Rattus norvegicus: one gene and its partners. The protein of the gene in region 1 interacts with the protein of each later gene in a pairwise test. Links are inferred from orthologs where the notes say so. Each region holds a gene or a part of one and is shown on either strand. Other genes may lie near its edges. The genes, in order: Homez, Lnx1, Aen, Med18, mrpl11, Snrpb2 and Mad2l1bp.

What was found.
Region 2: the proteins of Homez (region 1) and Lnx1 interact in binary tests that used the Homo sapiens proteins (3 or more experiments, as listed by UniProt). The link is inferred for Rattus norvegicus from reciprocal best matches to the Homo sapiens genes HOMEZ and LNX1.
Region 3: the proteins of Homez (region 1) and Aen interact in binary tests that used the Homo sapiens proteins (3 or more experiments, as listed by UniProt). The two-hybrid records come from large-scale screens. The link is inferred for Rattus norvegicus from reciprocal best matches to the Homo sapiens genes HOMEZ and AEN.
Region 4: the proteins of Homez (region 1) and Med18 interact in binary tests that used the Homo sapiens proteins (3 or more experiments, as listed by UniProt). The two-hybrid records come from large-scale screens. The link is inferred for Rattus norvegicus from reciprocal best matches to the Homo sapiens genes HOMEZ and MED18.
Region 5: the proteins of Homez (region 1) and mrpl11 interact in binary tests that used the Homo sapiens proteins (3 or more experiments, as listed by UniProt). The two-hybrid records come from large-scale screens. The link is inferred for Rattus norvegicus from reciprocal best matches to the Homo sapiens genes HOMEZ and MRPL11.
Region 6: the proteins of Homez (region 1) and Snrpb2 interact in binary tests that used the Homo sapiens proteins (3 or more experiments, as listed by UniProt). The two-hybrid records come from large-scale screens. The link is inferred for Rattus norvegicus from reciprocal best matches to the Homo sapiens genes HOMEZ and SNRPB2.
Region 7: the proteins of Homez (region 1) and Mad2l1bp interact in binary tests that used the Homo sapiens proteins (3 or more experiments, as listed by UniProt). The two-hybrid records come from large-scale screens. The link is inferred for Rattus norvegicus from reciprocal best matches to the Homo sapiens genes HOMEZ and MAD2L1BP.

What each region holds. Positions count from the first base shown.
Region 1 is NC_086033.1:32,306,675-32,310,895, forward strand, and holds the start of Homez (homeobox and leucine zipper protein Homez), read right to left. Parts: upstream 2,801-4,221; 5' UTR 2,776-2,800; coding exon 2,751-2,775; intron 1-2,750. UniProt on the Homo sapiens protein: May function as a transcriptional regulator.
Region 2 is NC_086032.1:33,867,159-33,871,370, forward strand, and holds the start of Lnx1 (E3 ubiquitin-protein ligase LNX), read left to right. Parts: upstream 1-1,412; 5' UTR 1,413-1,517; intron 1,518-4,212.
Region 3 is NC_086019.1:142,223,177-142,227,332, forward strand, and holds the start of Aen (apoptosis-enhancing nuclease), read left to right. Parts: upstream 1-1,356; 5' UTR 1,357-1,649; intron 1,650-4,156. UniProt on the Homo sapiens protein: Exonuclease with activity against single- and double-stranded DNA and RNA. Mediates p53-induced apoptosis.
Region 4 is NC_086023.1:149,949,873-149,953,921, reverse strand, and holds the start of Med18 (mediator of RNA polymerase II transcription subunit 18), read left to right. Parts: upstream 1-1,249; 5' UTR 1,250-1,399; intron 1,400-2,119; 5' UTR 2,120-2,190; coding exon 2,191-2,263; intron 2,264-4,049. UniProt on the Homo sapiens protein: Component of the Mediator complex, a coactivator involved in the regulated transcription of nearly all RNA polymerase II-dependent genes.
Region 5 is NC_086019.1:211,692,555-211,696,606, forward strand, and holds the start of mrpl11 (large ribosomal subunit protein uL11m), read left to right. Parts: upstream 1-1,252; 5' UTR 1,253-1,328; coding exon 1,329-1,451; intron 1,452-1,949; coding exon 1,950-2,045; intron 2,046-2,414; coding exon 2,415-2,508; intron 2,509-2,595; coding exon 2,596-2,755; intron 2,756-3,851; coding exon 3,852-3,957; 3' UTR 3,958-4,052.
Region 6 is NC_086021.1:150,859,334-150,862,833, forward strand, and holds the end of Snrpb2 (U2 small nuclear ribonucleoprotein B''), read left to right. Parts: intron 1-667; coding exon 668-718; intron 719-2,152; coding exon 2,153-2,241; intron 2,242-2,681; coding exon 2,682-2,841; 3' UTR 2,842-3,029; downstream 3,030-3,500. UniProt on the Homo sapiens protein: Involved in pre-mRNA splicing as component of the spliceosome. Associated with sn-RNP U2, where it contributes to the binding of stem loop IV of U2 snRNA.
Region 7 is NC_086027.1:22,328,394-22,332,498, forward strand, and holds the start of Mad2l1bp (MAD2L1-binding protein), read left to right. Parts: upstream 1-1,305; 5' UTR 1,306-1,311; coding exon 1,312-1,366; intron 1,367-1,746; coding exon 1,747-2,012; intron 2,013-4,105. UniProt on the Homo sapiens protein: May function to silence the spindle checkpoint and allow mitosis to proceed through anaphase by binding MAD2L1 after it has become dissociated from the MAD2L1-CDC20 complex.

The DNA of each region.
Region 1 (4,221 bases):
AACTAATTACATGAAAAGAAAAAAAAATAGGGGTTGGGGATTTAGCTCAGTGGTAGAGCGCTTGGCTGGAGAGATGGCTCAGCGGTTAAGAGCACTGTCTGCTCTTCCAGAGGTCCTGAGTTCAATTCCCAGCAACCACATGGTGGCTCACAACCATCAGTAATCATGTCTGGTGCCCTGATTCTGGCCTGTAGTTGCATACATGCAGGCAGAACGCTGTATGATGTATACATAATAAATAAATGTTTAAAAAAAAAAGGTGGGGCTGGAGAGATGGCTCAGCGGTTAAGAGCACTGACTGCTCTTCCAGAGGTCCTGAGTTCAAATCCCAGTAACCACATGGTGGCTCACAACCACCTGTAATGAGATTGGATGCCCTTTTCTGGTATGTCTGAAGACAGCTACAGTGTACTTATATATAATAAATAAATAAATCTTTAAAAAAAAAAAAAGGTACAAGATGCTTCCTTTCCGCCATTTTGTTCTGCCATCCCTAGTCTAATACCTTACACCAAATATGAAAGAAATGGTCCATTTTTCCGAGTTTGGAAAAAATGCTGTCTGTCTTTTAAGACACATTCTCAATAGTAGCCAAGGTTCATTCACCTGCTAGGCTAACCTTGCCTCCAGGCAATTCTTCTCCATTGGCCTCCTGAGGGCTAGAATTACCAGTGTGAGCTATTATGCTTGGTCTGAAATTTTTTTTTTTTTTTCCAGAGCTGGGGACTGAACCCAGGGCCTTGCGATTGCTAGGCAAGTGCTCTACCACTGAGCTAAATCCCCAACCCCCTGAAATTTTTTTATAACATAATCACTGTAACAGGCCCCAGACCTTGCCACAACTGACTCCATGATGGAAATACCATTTAGGCTGTAAGACTCAGCACGGAGATAGCCTCCTGCTAAACAAAAACAAAGGCCCAATCCATCGAAGCTGATGAGAGTTCTGGGAAAGTCTCAAGATATACTAACCTTGCTTGTTAGCTTGTTAGTTCCACTTCTGTTGTTAACTGAAGACATGGTTTTTGTGCTTAAAAGCTCACTCTGAGAAAGGATCAGAGCTCTATTGGGACCCTGAGTACCCAGTATTGTCACCAGCTGACTCATAGACTTCCTATTGGCTAAAACCCGTGTCCGGGCAGTCTTCTCTGGTGGATACTCCACAAGTCACAATGTGTAATTCTTTTAAAATTACCATAACCTGAAAATTAACAGTATGCTAGAAAACTGAAATCCTTTCTTGTTTGTTTTTCCATACAGGGTTTTTCTGTTACCTTAGCTGTGCTGGAACTCACTGAAGAGCAGGCTGGCCTCTAACTGAAAGATCCAACTACCTCTGCCTCCCCCGTGCTGGATTAGAGACGTGTGCCACCATGGTTCAGAACCTTATTCTTTGCAGTAAGTATTAGTTACCTGTTCTATGAAAAGGCTGTCAGTGCAGCAGGGTGGGTACAGCGCGATGGGTGCAGGCGCCTGCTGCCTGGCCTGCTGACCTAGGTTTCATTCTAGGGGAACCACACCCTGGAAGAGGGACGCCATCCCAAAAAGTTGCCCTCTGTCTCTATGTGTGGGTCTTGAACACACACAAATAAGCCAGGTATGGTGGTGCATACCCTTAATCCCATCGCTCAGGAGGCAGAGGTAAGTGGATCTCTGTGAGTTTGAAGACAGCCTGGTCTACATAGTGAGTTCCAGGACAGCTGGGGCTATATAGTAAGACCTCCCATCAAACAAACAACAAAAACAAAAAAGTTCAATCTGATTTTTTTTGGTATCCAAACACATGGAAAAAAAATTGTTTGCCAGGTAGGTAATTTTTCATCAGCTTTTTTTTTTTTTTGGTAGCGTGCATGTATGTGGGGGTTCACGAGTGTTTTAGATTGATGCCAAATCTTCCTTGATAGCTCTCCACCTCAGCTCTCTCTTTTTTTTTTTTTTTTGGTTCTTTTTTTTCCGGAGTTGGGGACCGAACCCAAGGCCTTGCGCTTCCTAGGCAAGCGCTCTACCACTGACCCCCTTTCATCAGCTTTTTAAAAACTGTAACTGATTTGCATTTCCCCAGTCCTTAAACGTTCACTTTATGCCCAATCTTGTATTTAAAATTTGTATTTTCGGGCTGCAGAGATGGCTCAGTGGTTAGGAGCACTGACTGCTCTACCAAAGTTCTTGAGTTCAAATCCCAGCAACCACATGGTGGCTCACAACCATCTGTAATGAGATCTGACGCCCTCTTCTGGTGTGTCTGAAGACAGCTACAGTGTACTTACAGATAATAAGTAAATAAGTAAACAAATAAATAAATCTTAAAAAATAAAATTTGTATTTTCTTCTTAAAAGTTGTATACTTTAGGATACAGAAGTTTTACTCGACTGTGTAACCAAATGACCATGTTCGGTTTCGTCCAGTGTTTGGTGTCTCCTCTCCTAAGAAATGCCAGAGGTCAGGGGAGCTCTAAGGCTGAATGGTCACCAGTGCAGGTGTTGGGAATCTGGGATGGATTTGAAACAGGAAAAGCTACATTAAAGCTCTCTGTGAAAGAAAGAGTTCAGGGGTTGGGGATTTAGCTCAGTGGTAGAGCGCTTGCCTAGGAAGCGCAAGGCCCTGGGTTCGATCCCCAGCTCCGAAAAAAAAGAACCAAAAAAAAAAAAAAAAAAAAAAGAAAGAGTTCAGATCAACCCACCATCAAACTAAGATGTCCAAGTTGGGAAAGAGGCTAGGGCCACGGAAGCCCTGCCCAGCCTCCACCTACCTCTCTCTGGGTGTCTAGTCCTCATGCTGACTCTTCCTTCACATATGTACTTCGCTTTCAAAACGTACTGAGTGGGTGCTGTGCAATGACATCACAGCTCGACTATTATGACGTAATGAGGAGGCCAGTGACTGTGCTCCAACCAGTGTCGGTGTTCTGAGTCTCATGATGGAAGAAAGCAGGCCACTCAAGGATGTGGTAAGGCCTTGCTGGCCCCAGGGAGAGCCAGCCACTGCAGACTGAATCTTGAACAACTGTACAAAGGCGTATTTACTGATTGTTACAGAGAAGTTAGTGTTTGGGTGAAACTGGTTCCTCATAACAAAGCCCCTGACCTGACCTATGTTTAGGGAAGGAGACATCACACCTCTGTGACTTCATGTTTATTGTACGCTGTCTCCAGTACCCAATAAAGCACAGCACTCCAGGTGTGCCTGGAGCTGTGACCAAAGTCATGGAAATGCCATGAAGCTCCTTCAGTAATACAACTCTATCAATCACAGGAAACAACCGCCATTTTCCACAATAATTCCTTCCAGGTCTACGTCCTTCTAGAAAAGAACTATTCATTCTATTATTTATCAGAGATACAATGAAAACCATTCCATGCTAATGTTTACCCTAGACAATGGTTTTACTTAGAATTACACTACAAACTAGGGCTTCCCTATCAGGTCTGCTGTTCTCATTACCCTGTGGCTGATTCCATTAGTAGATGAAGCATCCCGACCTAAGAGGAAATTAGCTTCTCCCAAGCTGGTCCCTTTAACCACACAGCTCGTGCTGGGTGCCAGGCAGCTAGAGCTTGGCCCTCCAGACTTTCCCACTGTCCAAAATGGTAAAAGGATCTGATTGGAGTGTCTTGGGTCAGGGTTGCCAAACCCTCTGTACCTCTTTCTCACCCAACGTTTACATGATCCAAGACTCCATTAGGGTTGGGAGGACAGCTCAGCGGGTAAAGGTACTATGTTACATAGCGTCATAAAGACATCACCTTGACACTGGCTAAAGTCATCTGAGAGGACGTAACCTCAATTAAGAAAATGCCTCCATGTCAGGTGTACACCTTTGATCCTGGCACTTGGGAGGCAGAGGCAGGTGGATCTCTAAGTTGGAAGCTAGCCTGGTCTACAGAGTGAGTTCCAGGATAGCCAGGATTACACAGAGAAACCCCTTCTCAAAAAACAAAACAAATAGAAAGAAGGAAATAAATAGAGTGAAGGAAAGAAAGAGGGAGGAAAAGAGGAAAGAAAATGCTTCCAAAAGTACAAGCCTATAAGGCATTTTCTTAATTAGTGATCGATGGAGGGGACCCAGCCCATGCAGATGGTGCCATCCCTGGACTGGTGGTCCTGGTGTTGCAGGATTTCTGATCACACTGTGAATCCCAACATTGTGTTGTTTACTGGGGAAAAAAAAATCTGTTTCTAGTTGTGGTGTGGTTCAGCCCTAGTCCATGCCTTTAACCCAA
Region 2 (4,212 bases), on another chromosome or scaffold:
GCTCGGTCCCAGATGGAGAGGCTGCTTAGGCCTGCCTGGGGCGAGCCAGTGTTTGGAAGTTGCCTCCTGCACTAGATTCATCTTCCTTCTTCTTCCCTCCCCATTTGCTTTACAAGGTACTGAGTGACCGACAGGGAGCCAGCTACCAATGTGGACACTCAGGGATGAGGTGTTTTTTTCTATTTCTTTCTTCAACTGCCCCACCCCCACCCCCCACCCCGGTCCAGCTCACAAACCACTGCTAAGTGGCAAGGTATTAGAACAGGTAAAGCTTACAGTTTTGAGATCAGAAGGGGGAAGGTGTTTTTCAGCAGGTGTTTTCTTCCTTAAGGGACAAAAGTGTGGCTGGACCAACCTAGGAGAGAGAACTCCCCAGTGTCCTCAGGTAGCACATTCCGGAGAGTGAATAAGTCTGCGAGGGAGGCTGGCTGCGGGCCACAGGCGCACAGCAATTCAACAGGCTGATGGGACAAGATGCCATAGGCCTTAACCAGCAGGCAGGAATCCTCTTAGCTGTCACTCAAGTGCCAGCTGAGTCCTGCCATTAGCCTCTCTTTCCTGCTGGAAAAGCTGAAGCAAGCGTGACTTATCCAGGGTCACACACCAAGCTTGGGACCAAAATAACTCTGACTCCTCTTCCCTAGCTCTCACAGCAGACAACAGCGCCTTAGTAAGGCGCTATCATTCTAACCTGAATCATTTAAAGTACCCCTAATTGCAGGCCTACTGTGGACTGTAACCACCAGGTGACAGACAGACCGAGAGGTAGGAATGACTGAAGTTTTACCAATGGCCAAATCTATTATTAATATAATACACTGGGGACTGCGAGGGAGTTTGGGAAATGATGCTGACAGGCATCGAACTTAGATTTTTAAGGCTTGTCATGTCACCTCCAGTTTTGTTATAATATTGGAACAGAAAAAAAAAAACACTAGGAACTCAAAGGGATGCGATTCAGAAAGGCATTAGGGGGGTAAATCCCAGATATAGCTAAGTCTTCTCAACCTTTTTCTTTTTTTGCACCTACAAAAATCCCTGTGTTTAAACTTCCCTTTTAATTCTGGTGTTGGCAGCTGTGTGGGCCTGTGAGAGCCCTCGGAAAGAATATCAGGCAGACGAAAAGGGCCTGGGAAACAGTCAGGCATACCCATTCAGATCTGTACACGGGGCTAGACACGTGCTCTGCTCAGGAAGGAAAGTAAATTCCGACCAGCAAATTGCTCTAACTGATTCATTTGTCCTCTGAGAGACGCCACCTACCTGCTCCAAGGTATTCAGGTAATTGACAGGGGGCGGGGCCTCCTGGGCTGTTTTAGTCCCTAAAGTCTCAGCCAGACTTCCGTGATGTCACAGATTTCCTGTTCTGAGCCAACCAATGCCCTCCTTCTTCCTCCAGCCACCTGTACACCGAAGTTGAGACCAGTCACAGCTCAGGCAGCCCTAGAAGCTTCTGGCACAGGGATGGAGGCGGGCTGGTGACTGCTGCTTTGAAAGCCCCAGACATCTTTGAACAGGTGAGCAGGAACTATTTTTTCCTCTCTTGGTTTTTAGACCCCTGACCCAGAAGGGATCTAAATGAGGAATCTGAATGAAAATTACAAAAGAAAAAAGAAAAAGAAAGAGAGAGAGAGAGAGAGAGAGAGAGAGAGAGCGAGCTCACTGAATGGCTCAGTCCAGAGTAACACTCTGAGAGTAAAGATGTCTGTAACAGTCTTATTTGTGACCAGCAGTGTTGTCTCGGCCAGATATTTAATCATTTTTGTTTCCTGATTACTAATCCAGCCTCTGCTTGTTGTGAAGTTGATTTGATTCTTTTTAAAACCCCAGAGAAAAGTGAGATGAGATGCTCTTTGAAAGTTAGTTCAAATGTGCAGACCAGTCCAGCCTGTTTTGTGTGTGTGTGTGTGTGTGTGTGGTGGGGGTGGGGGTGCTGGGGACACTCACAAAATTCAGATTGTCTTTTTTTTTTCTTGCCTTCTGCATTCATCTCATCTGAAAAGCTGTAATACTTCCCTAGGTTTTGTTGTTGTTTACAACAGAAAGTCAGTACTAAAGCTGATAAATTCTGGCTCCCTGTTTATAAGTTCTCTCTCTCTCTCTCTCTCTCTCTCTCTCTCTCTCTCTCTCTCTCTCAAAAGCCTTCAGTTTCCTTTACTTGTGGAAAACATTTAGCAGTCTGGATTAGAACTCTGTTTACCTACTTTCAGGCCCGACAGGCTGCCTGCTGACCTTTGGTTAAAGTAAAGATTACCCTTCAAGGCCACAAGAATGTAGCCCCAGGTCTGGGTTTGAAACTCTTCTGTTGTTTCTACCTTGCTCTTAATATAGTAAATATATGGAGGAGACTGTTCTGCCAGGACCTGACTATAAAAGTAATTGTACCTCAAGGACCCATATTCGTTTTTCTAATCCTGATCGTGTAACCTGTTCTCAATGGGCAGGCACCCCCACCAGCTAATATGATTAACAAGAGCAGAGGAATAAATCCCCAGTCCATCTCCTTATCAACTTATCTGGGAAACTCGGGGAGAGAAATAAATGAACGAGTCTTTTCATTTCATAGGCCTTCGTTAGTTGCATTAGTTAAGTTAGCAGATGGCTTTGTAAGGAAATCATCTACTAGGAGTTAAGCCCATATACAGCCCTCTAGAAGTTAAAAGAACCTGCCAACTGTCCAAGAGTGTATGAACGGAAACAACTAAAAAGTATCGCCCTTGAACGGCTGCTTCTTTCTTCCTGGTAAGCATCTGCCTCCTGCTTGTTGCCAGTTTCTTTCTGATTCTTGGGAAGCTCATAGTCTCTTCTCTAGTTGACCTTTGTGCCTTATATTGTCCTCTAAGCTCCTGTGTTTGCAGAGTAACTGTTGTTGATGCCTTAGTAACATTCTCGGTTGATTCAGAGGTTTGTGAGCAAAGTGAGAAAAAGATTCCTCATAGCCTGGAGTTTTGTAGGTGTAAATTTGTCCTTGATGTTCCAAACCTCTGCAAACTTTCACACACACCCCTCTTTTATACCTGGTTAATTAGTCATTTTTACAACAATGGACCTATGATTAAATAACAAACTATTTTGTCATTGTCTCTAACTGCTTAGAAAAATATTATATATAATATATATTATATATGTATATATATAAAATCCCCCCCCCAATTCAAGAAAGAGAAAAAAGGGGACAGAAACCAGAGTCCCAGTGTCTAGCATAGGGGTCGAGGCAGCTCGTTGGATAACGTGCATGTGTCCTTGAGAAGTTGCTGTGACATCTCCACTAATTTGGGTGTATACAAAGTGCTAAAGGAAACAATATGTATTTCCTTAGCAAATTACTGGACTTCTCTGAACCGCCATTCCTTTCTCAGTAGGACGAGAGATAAGTACCATGTGCTATAATGTGGTTCTCTGAGTATAGGTGAGCTTGGAGTCAGGGACAAATAAAAGACAAGTTCCTCTCTGCTGGAAGAAATTTCCTGGGAGCTTAGAGGACTTGTGTGAGCCCATGTAGCTCTCCTGTGGCTGCAATGGTTCAGGACCCGGCTCTTATTACTGTAATTAATTGTCAGTAATTAACCCCACTGCTAACAGTTTGGAGAAACACAACAGTCCAGAGGGAGGAGAATGAACGGGCTGTCATTCCCTGAGCCAGGCAGCGTGTGCCTGCCAGCCCCCTTGGCCCTTGGTGAAGCAAACTCTGGAGTGGTCTCTCTTCCTTCTTGTGATCTCTTGACACATCCACAAAGTGTGAGTTCTTAAAGGCTGTCAGGAGAGGTCATCGTTGTTTGGAGGGCAGGGAGCCCAGACTGTTTTAATCATGCTACTACCCTGAGTGGCCTTGGGTACTTGGTCCCCTCTAATCTTGTAGGTAAACATCTTCCACCTCAGACTCCATGAGCACTTGGCCAAGCCAGTGTGAGAGGTGACAGATAATTTGCAACCTGTACCATTCTGTGGAGGGGGAAGGCTCGTGGGTCCTTTGGATAAGATCCACACATTTAAGTAGAGATTTTTTTAAAGATTGATCTATTTATTATATATTAGCCCACAGCAGAAAAGGGCTTCAGATCTCATTACAGATGGTTGTGAGCTACCATATGGTTGCTGGGATTTGAACTCAGGACCTCTGGAAGAGCAGTCAGTGCTCTTAACCACTGAACCATCTCTCCAGCCCCCAAGTAGAATATGTTGAACCTGTCAGTGACCTTGAATCATTGCATC
Region 3 (4,156 bases), on another chromosome or scaffold:
ATCCCACCAACAATGGAGGAGTGTTCCTCTTTCTCCACATCCTCGCCAGCATCTGCTGTCACCTGAGTTTTTGATCTTAGCCCGATTATACAAATTTTAAGGGCAGTTTGATACTGTCAGTTTAGCAAAACAGTAGTAGATTTGATTCTGGGGTCTATGAGCTCCTCTAGCTTTTCCTTTTTAAATTTATTTAAAAAAAAACCTATTTTGTGTGTGAGTGAGTGTGTGTGTGTGTGTGTGTGTGTGTGTGTGTGTGTAGGTGTAGGGACTGGGGTGGGTGTGGGTGGGTGAGTATGCATGCCCGTGCATGTTAGAGGACAACTTCAGGGAGTTTCTTGTTGTTTGGGGTATCTCGTTTCTGCCTACCCTAGCTAGCCAGAGAGCTTCGGTTAATTTTTCTGTCTCCATTACCATCTCACTGTAGCACTGTAGGAGTACTCTGTCTCTTCCCCTCCCCCTCTTCCTCTCCCTTCCTTTCTTCTCTGCGTAGCTTTGGCTGTCTTGGAACTTGCTCTGTAGACCAGGCTGGTCTGGAACTCAGAGATCCACCTGCCTCTGCCTCCTGAGTGCTGGGATTAAAGGTGTGCACTTTAATCAGCTTTCTAAGAAGGTCCAGGGATCAAATTCAGGTCATCGGGTTTACCGAGCAAGCACCTTTTTACTTCCGAGGCAACTCTCCCATCCCCCTTTTAAAAACTTTTCATAGGGAAATGAGTATATGAATAAAATATGCAAAGGAATACTTAATATGGGTGTGGTGGCAAAATGCTGTAATACCAGTATTTAGGATGTCAGAGGCAAGAGGATCAGAAGTTCATTCACAACTATACAGAAAATACGAACTTGATACTGGAAAAAAGAAGGAAAATGAGACAGCCTGGGCTACAGGAGATCATGTCTCGAAAAACAAAACAAAAAATAAAAAAACACAAATTAAATAAATATTGAAAAAGCAATGCAGAAAAAGCAAACCTGATTTTTTTTTTCAAGTTTAAAGAATACTGTATTATTTCACCCGGTTCTCAGAACTCCGAGACTGGAGAGGCTGCAGTTCACCCTAGGCAGATTTGGGTGTGCACCTTGTGACTTTAAGTCTTTGAAGTTTGACGTTCACTAGGCGTCAGGTCAGAAACCAGACGTTCCATTCAGTTTTTTACTAACCTCCTAAACATTGCCCTCTCCCGGCGCAGACCACGCGCTCCTCCTACGGTAGCCCCACCCCTTCTGACTGGCACGCCTACTCCAGGAGGAGCAGGATCAGCCAATCCGAGGAGGCCTTAGGCGGGCCCTACGGCCCAGCGAACCAATAGACAGGCAGCCGAAGCCGGGCATGTCCGGGCAAGCAACTACTGCTGCCGTCAAGGCTTCCACGTGAAAGCCGCAAAGTGCGGCCCGGTCTTCAGGTGAGCTAGGGGACCGCCACAGGGAGCCCCGGGCTGCGGGTTCCTGTCGCCAGCCTCACGTGGCTCTCGGGACCGGGTGGTGTGCAGCCAGGCCGGAACGCGGCCTCACGCGGTCTTTCCCAACTTGGAGCCGGTGGGCATCAGGGGACCGCGTGGACATTGAGCGTCCACTGCACGCCTCAGCTGTGAGGATTGCGGCCTGCCCTCATACTTAAAAAACAAACAAACAAACAAAAAACTGGTCAGGTAAGCTTTTGGGTAGCATTGGGGACCTTATTGCGCCAGCCTTTCTCAAACTGGGGTCTTCACAATCGTGACTTGAGGGTGGGGTCTCGGGTCCTGTCCCAAAACTTTGCCTTCTACCTAGGGCGGTTGATGGTTAAGGGACAGTGACTTTCTGATGTCATCAGGTTATTTCGTGCCAGAACAGTGTCTAGACGGGCCCACTGACGGAGGTCGGGTCTACCAGCATGGCAGGTGGGACCCTTATGCCAGTGACGATTCTGGCCTTGCAGTTTTTTGGGAACCTTCTCATCTGGAGTCCTCTTGGGTCAGGGACCTTCACATGAAGGCCAAGTGCCTTCCATACTGGCCAGAGAGAGTTATGATGTGGAATATCTGTACGTGGCTTTGCTAAAAGAGCTGTGTCCTCTGAATACTTCTCTCCAGCTAAACTGAGTGAGTGTCATTCAGGGCTTTGGGCTGTGGAAGTGCGTTCCCGTGATAATTGTTAGTTCTGGCACGTCCACAGGTTCAGGGACTATAGGAAATGACTGCCTTTATCTTTTCAAACAAATGCAAAAATACGGAGACCTCTACTCCGGGGAACCTAATTTTAGCTTCTTTCAAACCTTGCCAGCAGGGGGTAGGAGAGTCCATCCTCCTGCCCCCAACCGGAAGTCCGTGATCAGCAGGGCTAGCACAGGTCTTCTAGGCCAGGTTTTCTCCCTTTGCTGGACTAAGGCAAATTGAGTTTCTGAATTTTTGTCAGTTCTGAGATGTGGTTTGTGGAAATGAGGAAGTTGCTGACAACCTCTTAAAAGACAGGGTACTATTCAGAGAGCAGATGAGCAAGCCGAGAGCAGTTGTGTCAGCATGGGTCACTGAGCCTCCCCCTGGCTAAGTGGACCATTACTCCTAGTGCACATGCTGGCATCAGCAAACACAGACTGTTCTTTCCTCCCCGCTGCTACTGCTACTCCACCCTGTGTCTTAGGGTTCTACTGCTGTGAGCAGACACCACGACCAAGGCAGCTCTTATCAGGACAACATTTAATTAATTGGGGCTGGCTTACAGGTTCAGAGGTTTAGTCCATTATCATCAACATGGGAACATGGCAGCATCCAGGCAGGTGTGCGACTGGAGTTGCTGAGAACTCTACACCTTCATCTGAAGGCAGACAGAAGGCTGTCTTCCAGGCAGCTAGGATGAAAGTCTTAAGGCCCACGCCCACAGTGACACACTTCCTCCAATGAGGCCACACCTCCTGGTAGTGCCACTTCCTGGGCCAAGCATATGCAAATGTCACATCTTGGGCTCCTAGTCTGACCTCATCCTCTGATGAGGTAACCACGATGTCCCCTGGAGTCCTCCAGTGACTCAGTACACCCCCTGCTCCCTAGGTGTTTACAGGCTGCACCAAGTTCTTTGCCTACTCTCCCTGGCTCTTAGGTCTGTGCTTGTCAGGTTTCTCTTTTCTGAATACTCTTCCCACCCTGGGCTTCCCGGCTCTCCTTAACTCAAGGTCTCTTCCCGGTGACTGCCCAGGTTCTCAAGTTCCCTTCCTGTTGATCCGTGGTTTGGAGGACTTCGAGCTCTGTAGTACCCTCCAGGCCTGCCACTGGGAGGCCCAGCTTGGGCTTCTGAAGCCATGAGAGAGGGACAGCAAACACAGTGGGGGCTCTGCAGCTTGCTGACTTGAGGGGACTCTGAGGAAAGCTGCCTGTTGTCTGAGGAGGGCAAAATCCAATGTACTGCAGTATGCAGGATGACCTTCTTTATTCTCCTCATAGACAGTTAATAGCCTGGATCAGTGCTGCTTGGTCCACATTTTACTGGCCCACCTTGGTGCCTTGGGCCTCCCTCACTTCACCAGCAGACACTAGGCTGAAGACACCAGTATGGGTAAGGGTGGCTTGTGGAAGGACCGCTCAAGTCAATGGCAGAAGGTGAGGTGGTAACCCACCAGACAGTTATAACTGGTGACTTCAAGTTGCTGCTGGCCCCTCTGCCCCAGCATGAGACTAGTCAGGCCTTTGTCCCTGGTGTTTCCATTGCCCACTCCCTCTTCCCTGTAGGGTTACTGCTCCCCATTTACTCGGAAGTGACTTCTGGGATCATCTGCAGCTCTTTGCCTTCTTTTCCTCCTTGTATGGCTAGCCGGCTCTCAGCGCACTGTCTGCCGCATTTCTGTGTCTGGTCCAACCAAGCTTCCCGGCCCGGGATCCATCTTTGTAACTGTCCAGCACCTGGCACAGTTGGGACCCCAGGGAACCTCTTTGTAACGTTGGGGAGATCCAGGGGTTTCAGAACAGCATTCCGTGATACAGAACTGTGTCTGAAGGCGTTGGAGGGGTGTGGTTTGGGAACAGCAGTGAGTCCACGTGGAGGTGCTCTGGCCCAAGGGTAGCTGGCGTCTGGCGTAGGAAAGAGTAAGCTTTGCTGAGGAAAAGGCAGAAGGGTGTGTGTGTGTGTGTGTTTGTAAGGGAGGGAGAAGTAGACAGACTTGGGCACAAGAGTTTATAAAGACCCA
Region 4 (4,049 bases), on another chromosome or scaffold:
CTTCTATCTAATTATCTACCAATCAATCTATCAATCAACCTTCTATCTATGTATCGATCTATCTATCTACCTACTACCTATCTATCTAATGTATATGTGTGCCTAAATGTATGTACACCGTATATGTCCTGTATAGATGCCCATGGATGCCACATGAGGGTGTCGGTTCCCATGGAACTAGAGTTACAGGTAGTTGTGAGACACCTGATATGGGTGTTAGGGACTGAACCCAAGTCCTCTGAGGAACAGCAAGTGCTCTTAACTGCTGAGCCATCTCCCCGGCCCCCTAGTTATTTTATATTTTGTGTTACGAGTGTTTTGCAAGGGTGTATGTATGTGTACCACAGGGATGCAGTGAGTGATGTGGTCAGAAGAGGTAACAGATCTCCTGGAAGGGGAATTATAAATGATTGTTAGCCACCATGTAGGGATTGGGGACCTCTGCAAGAGCAGCAAGGGCTCTTAACTGCTCAGCCATCTCTCTAGCCCTAATTAATTAATTTTTGGAAAAAAACCCTCAAAATATTGTTTAAGTGTTGAATGGCTCTGCTGGAGAGATCCTTACCGCAGCCTCCTGAGGTTCTCAGATTCGGACTGTGCCTGGTCCCACGTATTTAAAGTTGTGGGTATGCATGGAAAATCGAACGAGTTTGCTGTTGTTCTGTATTAAACTTATGGCCTTGCACATACCAGGCAAGGCTCTAGCACTGAGCTGTTTCTCCAGACCCTTGAAAGCACACAAGAAAATATTGTTCCTGCTGGGGTCTATAAATACACAACGCTGTGCTTAGCGTTTCCGATTTGAAACATACTTCCCTTCTTTTTTTAAATTTAATTTAATTTTTAACTTACTTTACATCCCGCTCACTGCCAGCCCCCACCCCACCCCCCTGCCCTTCTGATCTTTTTCACTGCGACTCTTTCCCTCCTCGCTCCCCCCAGTGGCTGAGTTCAAAATTTAAATATTGTATCCAATCAGTTTCAAGAGATCTGATCAAAACATCCAGGTCGCCGAAGCTGAAAAAAAAACAAACAAAAAAATCAAAAACCGTTTCCTAGAGCTGTCCTATGACGTAAAGGCCTACAGTAACCTTCCAGTGTACCACTCTAGACTAGGACCCCAACACCGCAGCGGACCCGCACTCTGCGCGTGCGCTCTTGCACACCGGTGCCAGAAGGCGGGCGCCTTCCTTGCCCTCTCGGCACCCTTACTTTTCGGGGCGGTAGCGAAGAAGTTTCCTGTCCGTCAGCTTCCTACCGGAAGTGCTGAAGGGAATGTTTGGCGGTTTCTCTGGATCTGTGCAGGAGGGATTTGGGGGTGCGGATTGCGGGTGTGCACGCGTGGATTTAAGTCCAGCTTTGCATGGATCTGTAGCGCGAACGGAGACGTGTTGCTAGTGTAAGTGCACACGTGTCCCGGATCCCCGAGTGGGAGGACCGGTGCAGTCACTTTAACTTCATGTTTCCCGCCTGGCTCGTTTGTAAAGGCGTTTTCAAAAAGGCAGAACCAGTTCTAGTCTGATCCCGGCGTGTGCTCTCACTGAGTCTCCATGGCCTCTGCATAGAACGAAGGGTAGACAAGGTTCTTAGGTCTTTTGGTTTTTTTGAGACAGTCTCACTGTGATGCCCTAGTTAGCCGGGATTTGCTATATAGACCAGTCTAGCCCGAAGCCGCAGTTGTCTTCCTAACTCTGTCCCCGAGTGTTGAGATTACAGATGTTCCCCTAACACGACCGGCTTTTATTTCTTTATGTTTGGAAAGGAGGCCTCTCAGCGTAGACCAAAGTGACGTCACCTTTTTTGAATATGTATGTCGGTTCTTTCATTTGAGCCGCATGGGGGTGGGGGAGGGTCTGTGTGGTTATATGCCCCGGGGTTATTTTAAAGGAGCAAGAGGTTGCATAGCTGCCTCAAGGTGACATAGAAAAACTTTTAGAAGGTTCAGAACTTGAGACTAGATGGTCATTCTGGATCACCAGGGCCAGACCTCTCTTGTTTCTGCGTCACCCGTTCTTGGAACCGGCTGTATAAGCAGATATTCAAAGTTATGAATGAATGAGCTTTGGTTTCAAGGCCAGTGCCACAGAAAACAGTGGATGGACAAATGTGACTCTTCCAGGTGTATCCCGTGCTTCCCCGGTTGGAAGATCTGTTTGCAGTTCTGTCGTCTTGAACCTAATTAGAGGCATCATGGAGGCACCTCCAGTCACCATGATGCCAGTCACTGGGGGCACCATTAACATGATGGAGTACCTCCTGCAGGGTAAGTCAGCCACGGAGCATGCATTACCAAGTTTTCGTTCCTTTTCTTGTTAAAGCAAGTCAAGATGACTTACATAAAGGCAACTGCACGGTTCCTGTCACCCAGTAATTGCGTTTAGAAGAGGTTGGGTGGGAAGATGGCTCAGTGGCCAGAAACTCATTCTGTAGACCAGTCAGGCCTCAAGTGCCTGTGATCACAGGTGTGCTACACTTGTTTACTCTCTCTCATTCATTCCCTCCCTCCCCCTTCCTCTCCCCTCCCCTCCCCTCCCACCTCCCACCTCCCTTCTCTCCTCTTCTTTCTCTCTCTCTCTCTCTCTCTCTCTCTCTCTCTCTCACACACACACACACACACACACACACACACTCTCACTTTGTTTCTCTAAGCAGGGTTTTCTTCGTGTAACCCTCACTGTAGTAGAACTTGCTCTGTAGACCAGGCTGGCCTGGAACTCAGAACTACGAGGTCCACCTGCTCTGTCTCCCAGGTGCTGGCATCACAGGTGTGGGCCACCAGCACCTGGCTTTCATTTATTCTCTTTCATCTTGAAAAAGTAAAACTCAGGGCGAGGAGAGACCCTTACAGAAGTCCTTGGTTCAATTCCCAGCACCCTCACGGCAGCTCACAACTGTGTGTAACTCCAGCTGCAGAGGAGTTGATGTGATGCCCTATTCTGGTCTCCATGGATTCAGGCACACAGGTGGTTTACAGATAAACTGGAAGACAAAACACTTCCACACGTGAAATTTAAAAAAGAAATAATAAAATTAAAAAAAAAATTAAAACTCATACTGAGTCTCCCTCTCTCCCAGCTCTTTTATTTATTTTTTTCTTTTTTTTTTCTGCTCTTTTATTTTTTTTAAGATTTATTTATTTATTTTATGTATATAAGCACACTGTAGCTGTCTTCAGACACACCAGAAGAGGGCATCGGATCCCATTACAGATGGTTGTGAGCCACCATGTGGTTACTGGGATTTGAACTCAGGACCTCTGGAAGGGCAGTCAGTGCTTTTAACCACTGAGCCATCTCTCCAGCTCCTCTCCTAGCTCTTAACAGTTACCTTTCCACTGTATTTCCTTCCTTGGCAACTTAGATGCCCCACATGAGTGAGGTCCCTGGTTTTGTGACTGACTTATTTCTCATAGCATTATGTCCTTGATAACCTATGACACGATTTAGGTTGTTTTTGTTGTTTGGAAACAGGAGTATCACGTAGCCCAGGCCAACTTATTTTTTTTTTTTCAAATATAATTAAGATTTTTCTTTTAGGATTTTAAATCTTTTTTTTTTTAAGATTTATTTATTTTATGTATACACTGTCGCTGTCTTCAGACACATCGGATCCCATTACAGATGGTTGTGAGCCACCATGCGGTTGCTGGGATTTGAACTCAGGACCTCTGGAAGAGCAGTCAGCACCCTTAACCGCTGAGCCATCTCTCCAGCCCTAGGATTTTAAATTTGTATGAGTCTTTGTGAGTCAGAGGTCAGACAAGTGTGTCCAGTTCCCTGGAAAGGAATTGTGGGTGATTGTGAGCCACGGTTTGGGTGCTGGTGGAAACTGAGCCCAGGTCCAGTGCTCTTAGCTACTGAGCCACCTCCCCGACCCCTGGACTGACTGGCTCTAACATCCCTCTAACTGGCTGGATGGCCATGGACAGTTGGGACCTTCTGCCCTTCCGTCCTGAGTCTAACTGCATACATGTACTGTGCATGCTGACTGGACTGTCTCTGAGATCTAGCCTTGTTATTTCGCTTTTCATTCATTTCCGTATGGGCCTC
Region 5 (4,052 bases), on another chromosome or scaffold:
ATGTACATGTTTCTGCATGCATGTCCCAAAGTGCCTAACTACACAAGGGAGTGAGAACAAAGACTACAAACACCACTTGATTCAAATGCCATTCCCTAGAAAGCAAGTAATGAAATCATCTGCTTCCAATAAAAAGAAAGAGAGAGAGAAAGAAAGAAAGAAAGAAAGAAAGAAGGAAAGAGGGGCTGGAGAGATGGCTCAGCGGTTAAGAGCACCCGACTGCTCTTCCAGAGGTCATGAGTTCAATTCCCAGCAACCACATGGTGGCTCACAACCATCTGTAAAGAGATCTGATGCCCTCTTCTGGTGTATCTGAAGACAGCTACAGTGTACTTATATATATAATAAATGAATAAATAAAAAAAATTAAAAAAAAAAGAAGGAAAGAAAGAAGGAAAGAAAGGGAAGCGATAAAGTATGCCTAAGAAGCTAGTGGGAAATTAGGTCTGACTGGAATGAGGGTTCAGAGACTGCGTTTCAAAAGTGCCGGGAAAATTTCTTCCCTTTGTACAAATAGTGGTAAATGCCTTCTTGGTGCAAGTATTGTTCTAAAGCAACGTGTGTTACTGAGCTGTCACAATGATTCTGAAAGGTACCTATAGTATCCGTGGTGCCCAACATGAAATAGCTAACAGAAACAGTAACCTAACCCTAGCCCTAACTTTTTGTCTAGCTATAAATCAGGTTCATAGCTAGAGCAGCAGTCTACGTTTCGTTTCCGTCTATAATCATATTGCCTTTCATGAAAAACACACACACACACACACACACACACACACACACACACACACACACACACACACACACACACACACACACACACACACACACACACACACACACACACACACACACACACACACACGAAACAAAAGACTCAAGGGACTCCTTTGAATAACTTGCTCCATTTCAAACACTAAGATATCACTGTGTCCAGCAGATGGCAACCCAGAGCTCAGTCAACAGCAAGCGCAGGATAAAGAGCTAAAACTACAATACTACAATACCTACAATGCTGTGCGGAGACTCAAAGTCCTGATCTCCTGTTTGGCTGTCTAAGGCGATGCCTGTGGGCACTGCTGAAGGAATGTGTATACTGAAACCATATATGTTCTTGTCCTGACTTCAGAGCGCAAAGTTCAATTCATTTTTAAATTCCGTAACTCGTTTTTCAGTCGAAGAGCTGTATGCCTGAAACAAGACTGTTCTTTTTTGGCCACATTTACCCTAGCCCAACACGAGGGCCCTTGACCTCTGACCCAAAATGACAGCGCTCAGATCGTAGTTCTTGACTTCTCCGAGGCGGACTAAGGTTAAAATCCTATATCATGTCGAAGCTAAGCCGGGTCACTCGGACCCTCAAGAAGCCCGAGGCCGGCGGCGTGATCCGGTCCATCGTGCGAGCAGGCCAAGCTATCCCTGGGCCTCCATTAGGTCCCATTTTGGGTCAGGTGCGGTGTCTGGAAGCCGGCTTGGGAGACGTGGGAGAGTGCTCTGGAGCCCGGGAGGTCTCCTTTATAAACCTGTCTCCGCTATTCACACCTTCAGGCCTTAGGTTCTTGTATTACTTACGTAGCCTCTTTTGACCATCAAGTTGGCTACTTGCTGATTAAGTGGCACCTTGTGGACGAATCGCCTGGCACCCAAAGCCGTAGTTGAACCTGGGTAGAAGAAATATCGGAACACAAAAAAAATGAAGATGGCGGGGACGGGGGGACTGGAGCTCCTGGTTGATAGGAAGCCTTCAGCTCCCACACTTAACTTTGTTTTTTTTTTTTTTTTTTTGTCTTGTTTTGTTTTGTTTTGTTTTGTTTTGTTGTTTTGTTGTTTTGTTTCCGGAGCTGAGGACCGAACCCAGGGCCTTGCGCTTGCTAGGCTAGGCAAGCGCTCTACCACTGAGCTAAATCCCCAACCCCTCACACTTAACTTTGTATATGCTTTCCTCATAGCGAGGTGTCTCTATCAACCAGTTCTGCAAAGAGTTCAATGAAAAAACAAAGGACATCAAAGAAGGCATTCCCTTGCCTACAAAAATTTTTATAAAGGTACAGAGACGAATTCTCCCATATACTTCCTTGGCACTTGAAACTAGTCATCCCGGTTGCTTCTCTGTCCCTAACTTGGTTGCCAACTTCCACTTCTCATTTACACAGAAGCCTAGACCATAATTTCTCTGAACTGGCTTGATCCTGCCATATTGTGATTCTGACCTCTCATCTCACAGGGGTTCCAGAGGAGAATTGTGCTAGGAATAAAAATGACAGGGATGTGGACTGTAGATCTGCCCATCCTGCCTTCTCTGGTGTTAAAGACAACACCGCAGGAATGCAAGTTGATGGGAAGTTAAGGGACATTAGAAATGTCTTGGACCAGATAGAAAACCAAGAAATTCTCATGTATCTTTTTCTGTTAAGCCCGACAGAACATTTGAGCTCAAGATTGGGCAGCCCACTATTTCCTACTTTTTGAAGGCAGCTGCTGGGATTGAGAAGGGGGCCCGGCAAACAGGTAAGGGCTACAGGGGGCACCTGAGATTCTGATGTATCCAGAGAAATAGTGGCACTAGAAGAATGACGACCTGTTCCTTCTTCCCAGGGAAAGAGGTGGCAGGTCTGGTGAGTTTGAAGCACGTATACGAGATTGCCCGTGTCAAAGCTAAGGATGAGGCTTTTGCCATGCAAGATGTACCCCTGTCTTCTATTGTCCGTTCCATCATTGGCTCTGCCCGCTCCCTGGGCATTCGTGTGGTGAAAGAGTGAGTATCTTGAGAGGAATGGTGTACAAAGGAAACCAAGAAAGTTCTTGATTTGGGAGAAAGCCTATTGCAATGAAAAAGTCAGGTTTTTTTTTTAAATTTATAGCATATATTAGTTAAGCATATTAACTTCGTTGTGACATTTTCATACATGTCTAGCTTTCTAGCAGACTCTAGCAGAAGGATATGGAGCCTCATCTCGTTTGGATGAGTATCTCTTCTGTAGTAGACATGGCTCTGGACACCGCACAGAACCAGGAATGAACAGTGGTGCTCGGCCACTCTGGAGAAATATGTAGTCCTAAATAGAGACAGATCCATACATAGAGGCTTAGGCTAACAGGTGGTCAGTTATAAAACCAGTGGATGTCATGAGAGCAGAGAGGAGAGTTCCTGCTTTTCCCTTGTGTCATTGATGACTCTGAGGGAGGTAACATCAAAACAGCCCAGGAAAAGGAGGGTAGGAGAGCAAATGTTCCAAAAGGTGGAAAAATTGCAGGGAACAATGAGAGATAAGGTGTTGAAGCTAAGTTCGTTGTGGTTTAGGAGTCTCGTCTAGAGAGGCAGATGGGATATGGCCTGAGGGAGGGACCAGACAGAAGGGTCTTTTGAGCCAACAACCACACAAGTCAGCTGGCTTTGGATGATCTCAGGAATCGTTTCCTTGAAGTAACTTGTCAAGTAGGAGAGCATTTGGCCCAGAGCACAGCAGAGGCAGGAACTGGGTCAGTCATCACTGGTTGCTTGCTGCTGGTGTCTTTCCCTACAGCAAGGCTGGCATCAGTTGTACCTCAGGGGTGAGGTTAGAGCACAGTCTGCCTTAAAGTATGCAGCTCTGTGACTCTCTCACTTGAAGTGTTTGTGGCTCAGAGGAAGGGCTGGGAATCCTAAAGGTATAGTAGAGGCCACAGGTTCCGTAGGTCTTTAAAATAGGAGCCACAGTAGAGGATGGTAGTGTATGTGGGTTGTGGTTCCAGGCAGAGAAACTGCAGATGAGCAAAGGTAAGAAAGTTGGAAAGTCCAGGGAGGGACGTGGGCAGGGCAGCTGGGGTCTGCGCCAGGCTCCGCCCCTCACTGACCATCGCTCTTCCTGTAGCCTCAGTGTAGACGAACTGGCAGCTTTTCAGAAGGAACGGGCCGTGTTTTTGGCTGCTCAGAAAGAGGCGGATTTGGCAGCTCAGGCAGAAGCTGCCAAAAAGTGACCCCAACCTTCTACACTCTGAAGTGAGAGACTGAGAAGGGGGCCCACCGAGGAAGCTGAGCCAAAGGACTCCATGGCAACCCGATTTATAGTTTC
Region 6 (3,500 bases), on another chromosome or scaffold:
CCTATAAATTGTACATAATCTCTTCATCATGAGTGTCCTACTCAGAGCTTCTTTGACCAATTACAGGGGCAACATTTGTGATCTCTAGTAAAAGTAACAGTATAAAACAAGAGTAGTTACTTCTGGATTAAAAATGATCAATTTGACTCTGTATAATGTCAGTTATAATGTTGTTTTTAAAAAGCAAGACTGTTCCTTTTGTCCTTCATTATTTTTTATTTTATTTTATTTTTGAGACTCCTAGATGGAGTCTGCCCTCAGATGTAACCCTCACAGCACACTTGGTCTCTGCATCATTGACAGTTTAAACATGAAAGCAGGGTGTGGTATTGGCACACCTTTAATCCCAGTTCTCAGGAGGAAGGGGCAGGTAGCCTGGTCTACACAGTGAATTCCAGGACAGCTGAGCTACATAGCGAGACTGTCTCAAAAAGAAATTCAAGTGTTAAGTTTTATAATGTGGTCTGTGGAGTTGAGGGATAAGAATAACATTTCAGGAATAACTAACAAACTAAATACTTAAGACATAAGATCTTAAACTGAAATGGAGTAAGATCTTTACAGTTATTTTTATGTTGTTTATGTTATATTTATGTTATAAATAGCACTTGCTTTTTTAGCAGGACTGAAATTTAACCATTTCTTAATCTCAATATCTTTTTTGTAGGGAACACCAAATTCAGCTAATACTCAAGGAAATGCAGCACCAAATCCTCAGGTAATGTTTTCCTCCATAGAGTGTTTGCCTTATAATAAAAATTACTGCTATTTAAAATAGTGTACAAGTCTTCAAAAACAAGTAATTCATTTGCAAGGCATAATTGCTTGTCATTTTAAGAAACTCGCTCTTCAAATCATGTAAGTTTCCTAAGACAAGCAAACAAAACCTGGCCTGACCACTTGTTTCCCATGACTCGGTGACAAGGCAGAAAGTGTGAGAGCTGAGTGATTGAAGGCACATGACAGAGTACTCGTGAGGCCTGTTTCCATCCAGGTCCTGATGCACTGCCCTGTCTTTTTCAGATTCACGTTGGGCAGCGGTGGTTGCCTCCTCTTCCCCAATTCAGCCTCATTTTTATATTTCCTGTTCTGACATGACCCACACCTCTGTATCACCAAGAAAGTTAGAATATTAGAGTTATATGCTTTTAATTTTTTTTCTCTCCTTTGTTGCTGGAGATTGAACCCCTGGCCTAGACTAGACAAGTGCTGTACTACTGAGCTGCCCACCACCCTTCAGCCCTACTGAGACAGTCTTGATATACTCTCAAAACTCTCAGTCCTCCTGTCTTAACTTCCTGAGTGCTGGGATTACAGATATTATCGCTATACCTGATCCTGTGCTTTTTCTTATGATCTTTCTTTCTAGTCTTTGAACTCTTAGAACTTGTAGTCAGTTCATAAATACCAGCACTTGATTCTCTGTCTTTACTTGTTCACTAATTGCTTTTTATACTTGGTCTTTCCCTCCATGATACTACCAAGTAGCCAAGGTATCTTCTTATGTATAAATCCTTTATATACTCCCTGTAGTTTCAGGTTGGGGTATCAAGGACATGACTTAGTATCTAGTATTCTGCTTGTTTCTGTTTGTTTTAGATAAGTAGATGCAACTCATACCATTTACTGTGTGTGTGTGTGTACACATGAACTCACTAACTCACACACACATACACATCAACACACAGAGTAAATATCAGCAGGTTGTGGTTCTCAGTAGTAACACTAGTTGTAAATTATCTCCTGTTCTGATAGTAATCAGTGGTGCCCAGGACTCACACCCCGTAGTGTGAGCTAAGTAGAGTGACTAGCTAAAGAGCCTGATGTGGCTGCCTTTCCTAGTTTTTCAATTCTCTATTCCAGGTGACAGAATTCTCCAGTCATGACTGACCCACGGGTGTTTCATCTATAAATAGTTTTCCCAGAATCATAACCTTCCAGATTTGGGGTGTCCTGGCTTCCATGCTGGCCTCAACTGTTGTTAAGTTTCTAGCCGTCATTGTTCTCAGCTTTCTTCCGTTGTGTTCAGATTTCGTTGTGTTCATTGTGAGCTTCAGTGGCGTTCTCTGCAGATGAGGTTTTCATGTTTCTTAAACCAAATACCTTGCAGTACAGATTTTTCCCAGGTTAACTTGGTCTTTTGTTTTAATAGGTCCCTGATTACCCTCCAAACTATATCCTGTTCCTTAATAACTTACCAGAAGAGACGAATGAGATGATGTTATCCATGTTGTTCAACCAGTAAGTTATTGTTGTTGTTGTTGTTGTTTTAAACCAAACATCTGTTCATAGGAGCCTCCTAACAGGACAACTAGCACTTCTCTACATTGAGGTCATTTGTCACTCCACAACAGTCGTTCTCTGCAGGGTCATCGATTTAGTCTGGGATTAGTCATGGATTGAAGCCAGTCTCAGGCTTAGAATCTAAAGAGCTAGCTGTCCTCTGTTGGAATTATTCTCATGGATAAAATGGGAAACAAACCTTTAACAAGACAGAAGTAGAATTTGTGGAATTAGCATGTACTCATGGAATCCCTCCATGGTAAACTTTTATGTCAAATGCCTCTATCCTACTTGGGATTCCTGGTTGCATGTGATTGTTTTTCCTAGACCAGAGTGGGAAGTTACTCAACAAGTTTACGTATGCATTTGCCTGTGTTTATTGCTTTTGTTTTTCCTAGGTTCCCTGGTTTCAAGGAAGTTCGCCTGGTCCCGGGGAGACATGATATTGCGTTTGTAGAATTTGAAAATGATGGGCAGGCTGGAGCAGCCAGAGATGCTCTGCAAGGGTTTAAGATCACACCATCCCATGCCATGAAGATTACCTATGCCAAGAAGTAACACGGGGAGTGCCAGTTTTAAAGGACTTGGTATTATTTATAGCTTTTGTTTTAATTATATTCAGTCAAGTTGTTTGAAATGGTTGGAAGTGAAGGTGAAGTTTTGGAAAAAGAGTCACCTAATTTTTTTTTAGTTTTGGTGAACTATGAAATACAAAGCCTTAATTTTGTACAATAAACTTTTATTTGTATTCTGTTTACTGGTCTATTGTCCTACCATGAAGCACTTATTTTCCTACACATTTGAAAGTATGTAAACCCCCAGAGTGGGGGTTTAGGTCACTTTGGAGCAGCTAATGATACAGACGTTGAAGGGAACAGATTACAGCACCCAGTGAGCAGCATGTTAGTAAAATGATCACCCCGCTGTGAGTACACAGCACAGTTGCTTCCTGTGTCCAGGGCACAGTGGACCGTACAGTATTAGTGGCCATGTGATAATAACTGCTTACTGTTGTCTAGAAAAACAAGAAATGGGATTGCTGCCTGCAGTGTGACATTTACTTTTTCCCTTCTTAAAGGTTAATATCTAGTCTCAATTCTGGATGACTTTCAGTCAAGGGTCCCAGGGTTGGTACTGTCTGCGTATAATTCCAGCATTGTGGAGGCAGAGGCAGGAGGATTACTGCAAATTTAAGACCAGTGTTAGCTGTTTACATG
Region 7 (4,105 bases), on another chromosome or scaffold:
GAAAAAGTTTACCCATCCCCCTACATGAGATCAAGTTGAAACTTCATCACTTAGGAAGTCCTGTCATGACCTTGATTCTGTTTATCTACTCCCACCTTAATGATTCAGGAAGGCCTCGAACTCAGAAATCTGCCTGCCTCTGCCTCCTCCTGAGTGCTGGGATTAAAGGTGTGCACCACCACTGCCCATCTAAAAACCTTAACTCTTTTTTTTTTCTTTTTTCTTTTTTTTTTTTTCGGAGCTGGGGACCGAACCCAGGGCCTTGTGCTTGCTAGGCAAGCGCTCTACCACTGAGCTAAATCCCCAGCCCCCTTAACTCTTTATAGTATTGTAAGGGTCCATGATTCGCCGAAGAATTATACCCTGGCCTCAAATAGTATGTAAACACAAAGTGGGTTTTTTTCTGCTGGGGTCTCCCATTACCGAGATAGAAAGACCCGAAGGGAGCTCACAGGTGGATTTAAAGCATCTTAGGGGAATTCCGGGGAGGGGTAAGTGACCTCTATCTCGCTCACTTAATCTCAGCTCTATCTCTAAGGACATTCCTGAACCATTGCTGGGGCTGGGGCTGGGGTCTGGGGGTCTGGAAACTATTGCTGGGGAAGTGTGGAACCTGTTGCTAAGAAGTCTGGAAACTGCTGCTGACTAGGTGGCCGGGCAGCTTCTGATGGCAGGGCAATTTTGACCAGCTGCCTTAAGTCGGGGATTTTTTTTCCCCCTAGTAATTGACTTGCTTGAACCTGCCCGGTTCTTAGGCATACTCTCCTGAACTGCCTATTTGAATTCTCCCACGGAGTCAGCCTAGCATTCTCAGTATAAACTTCTTTGAGTCTTTGAAAAGAGAGTGTATCTCTCAAGATCTCACTAGGATTATCCTTTTTACCCAGTCACAGTACATACATTCCGGAAACCACCCTTTCGGGCACCTAACCCCGCCCTACCCGCTTTGGATCAGGTGCCCCAGGCCAGGCATGAACCTCTTAAGAACAGGGCTGGAGAGTGGCTTGACAGCGGCTGCGTCTCCAGCACCTAGGACAGGGCCCTGGAATGAAGCAGACGCCGGGAGAGTGAGGTGTTCAGGGAACTGGAGTGAATGGATGCGTCCTTAGAAAGGCAGACCCAGCCCTAGAGGGATGAGCCAAGCGCTCCCTGGCCTGGGTGTGGCTCAAGTCTTCTCAGTCCAAGCTTCACCATTCAGCGGCCGTGCTGAGTCCCTTCCGGCTGCTAGGAGCCGGAAGTGGAGTTTAAGCTTCCCATGATCCTTTGCGCGGCGTCTATTTTAACTGCAGGACTACTAAGCTGGCAGTCACGATGGCCGCATCCGGGCAGGAGGATCGGTCGGAGCTGTCCCCTGCTGCTGCCCCAAGTAAGACGTGGGATCCATTACTTGGGAGCTCGCTTCTTCCCTGCTGCTACCTCCCCAGAGACATTTAGTGGTTGACATTTCCTCCGGCGTTCCTTCCTATCCCAGTGGTTCCCGGTGTCCCAGTCCTCCCTGTCTCTGCGAGTTGCCCTGGGTGGAATTTTTCTTCTGTTCTGTTCCTTTGGGTGTCCTGGCCCCAACTCGGAGCAAAGCCTCCCTAAAGTCCCTCTTCTGGCCCTGATGTCATTTAAATCGCCCCCAGCCCGGATCAGGTTTCCTGTCACTTATGGGAGTGTCTGCTGACTGAGCCCCTGGGAACAAGAAACCTAACGCTTATTGTGACATCGCCCCTCCTTTCTTTACCTTTTTCATTTATGGACTAGATTTGGATTGGACTGAGAAACCGGAAGAAACTCGTGCACCCGGGGTAGATCTTGAGACCGTCATCCCGCCAGTCCAGGAACCTTCCAATTCTGTGGAGCCCTTTTGCCCAAGAGACCTGGTACCGGTGGTGTTTCCTGGACCCGTGAGCCAGGAAGGCTGCTGCCAGTTCACTTGTGAACTTCTAAAGCATATCATGTACCAACGCCAACAGCTCCCTTTGCCCTATGAACAGCTGAAGCACTTCTACCAGAAATCTTCTCCCCAGGTATGTACAGGCTTCCTGAGAAAATTCGGAAGACTTATGGGCCCTTAGATGGTGGGCAACTAGAAAAGTGACCTAAGACGTCTCAGCCTCCGTGGAAGTCTAGGCTTTTGCAAAGGCTTCCTTGCCTCATTTTCTCTGCACTTGGGTCTCTGGGTCTCTCACTTTTTTCGCTTGTTCTTTTTCTTTTTTCTTTTTTTTTTTTCCGGAGCTGGGGACCGAACCCAGGGCCTTGCGCTTCCTAGGCAAGCGCTCTACCACTGAGCTAAATCCCCAACCCCTCTTGTTCTTTTTCTGAGATTCTTCCTATTATGTGGTGTATACGGATATTATGGATTTGTTCTTTAATTTTTTATCGGGAATAGGATTTCACTATGTAGTTTAGGCTGGTCTCTGAAACCTGGCTACCTCAACTTCCCCAGTGACTTCTGAGGTCACAAGTGTGCTTCACCACATCTGGCCTTTCCTTAGACTAGATGGTCTCCGTCTGCCTCTTTTTGTCTCTCTTTCCCTCTCTCCCAACCTCCCTCCTTTTTTCCCTCTCCCTGTCCCTCTCCATATCTCCACCTCCTTCCCTCTAGCTTCTCCCTCTCCCCTCCCTTCTCCAAGGCCTCTCACATGCTACAATGCTATGTTACTGAGCTACATCCCCAGACCTGAACCAGCTCTTTACATTTGAAGTTCTTTTTCTTACCACATTTTACCTCTCTTTCTGGTTTTGTTTTAGTGTGTTTTGGAAGAATTTCTAGGTTTCAGATTCTAATGATTTTCTTCATCTTCTCTTTCTTTCCTTCCTCCTCCTCCTCTCCTTTCTTCTTCTCTTCTCCCCCTCCCCTCCCCTTCCCTCCCCCTCCCCTCCCCCTCCCATCTCCTCTCCCATCTCCTCTCCCCCTCCCATCTCCTCTCCCCCTCCCATCTCCTCTCCCCCTCCCCTCCCCCTCCCCTCCCTTTCGCTCTCCTCTCCTTCTTCTATTAAGACAGGGTTTTTTTGTGTTACCTTCATTGTCCTGGAGCTCACTCTATATAAACCAGGCTGGCCTCAAACTCAGAGACAGATCGACCTGCCTCTGCCTCCCGCGTGCATGAGCCATCTCCTGGTCCGATTAGCTTGTGATTTTCAGTATTCCTCCCACCTCAGCCCTGGGGCTGGGATTATAGCTATCATGCCCTTCAGGACCATGAAATTCTATTTTTTTTTTTTTTTTTAAGGATCCTTCCCACTTTCCTCTTGCTCCTCCAAGTGTCTCCTACAAGCCTTTTCCTTTGTGTCTTTCGGCTTTCGTGGTTGGTTGTTTTATGTTGGAATGTTTTACTATCTGGTAAATAGAATAAACTGTTGTCTGATGCCTGAGCCTTATAAGGTAATTATACCATAAGGAGATCTCCTTGGAGAACTCACCGAGGGCCAGGTGTGGTGCTCTAACCCCAGCAGTCGAGAGAGAGGCAGGCAGACAGACCTCTCTCTGAGTTCTAGACCATCCTGGTCTTCACTGGCAGTTCCAGGACAGCTGAGGTACACAGGGAGACCCTGTCTTAACAAGGGAGAGAGAGAGAGAGAGAGAGAGAGAGAGAGAGAGAGAGAAACTGTCCCTTGAGAATTCCTCACACAGGTTTGTGTTCAGTACTGCCCCTATGCCTTCTGCAGTGTCTCTACTGCCTAGGGTTCTGCAGTGTGGACTCTTCTCAAGCTTCTTGCCTTCTGGCCTATATCCTGTATTATTTCCTCCTTCCCTTACTGAATTTCTGTACACAGTATTTTAGGAGGGAGCAGGTACTAGTAACTGTGTGTAATTGAGTGAGTGGGTTTGTGCATTCGTGGGTGCGTGCATTCATGGGTGCGTGCATTTGTGGGTGCAGGGGTGGTGATGGTGCTAGGTACTGTTTTCCACCTCATTGCCTGAGACAGGGTCTCACTGAATCAGAAGCTCAACACTTAGGCTGGCTGGCCCACAAGCTCTCGGGATGTCTCCGCCACACAGTGCTGGATGTGACTGGGTCTTGAGGATTTAAACTCAGATCTTTGTGTTTGCAGAACAAATGCTTTTACTGAACCATCTCTCCAGACTTTTTTTTTTTTTTTTGGAGTGAGGACCGAA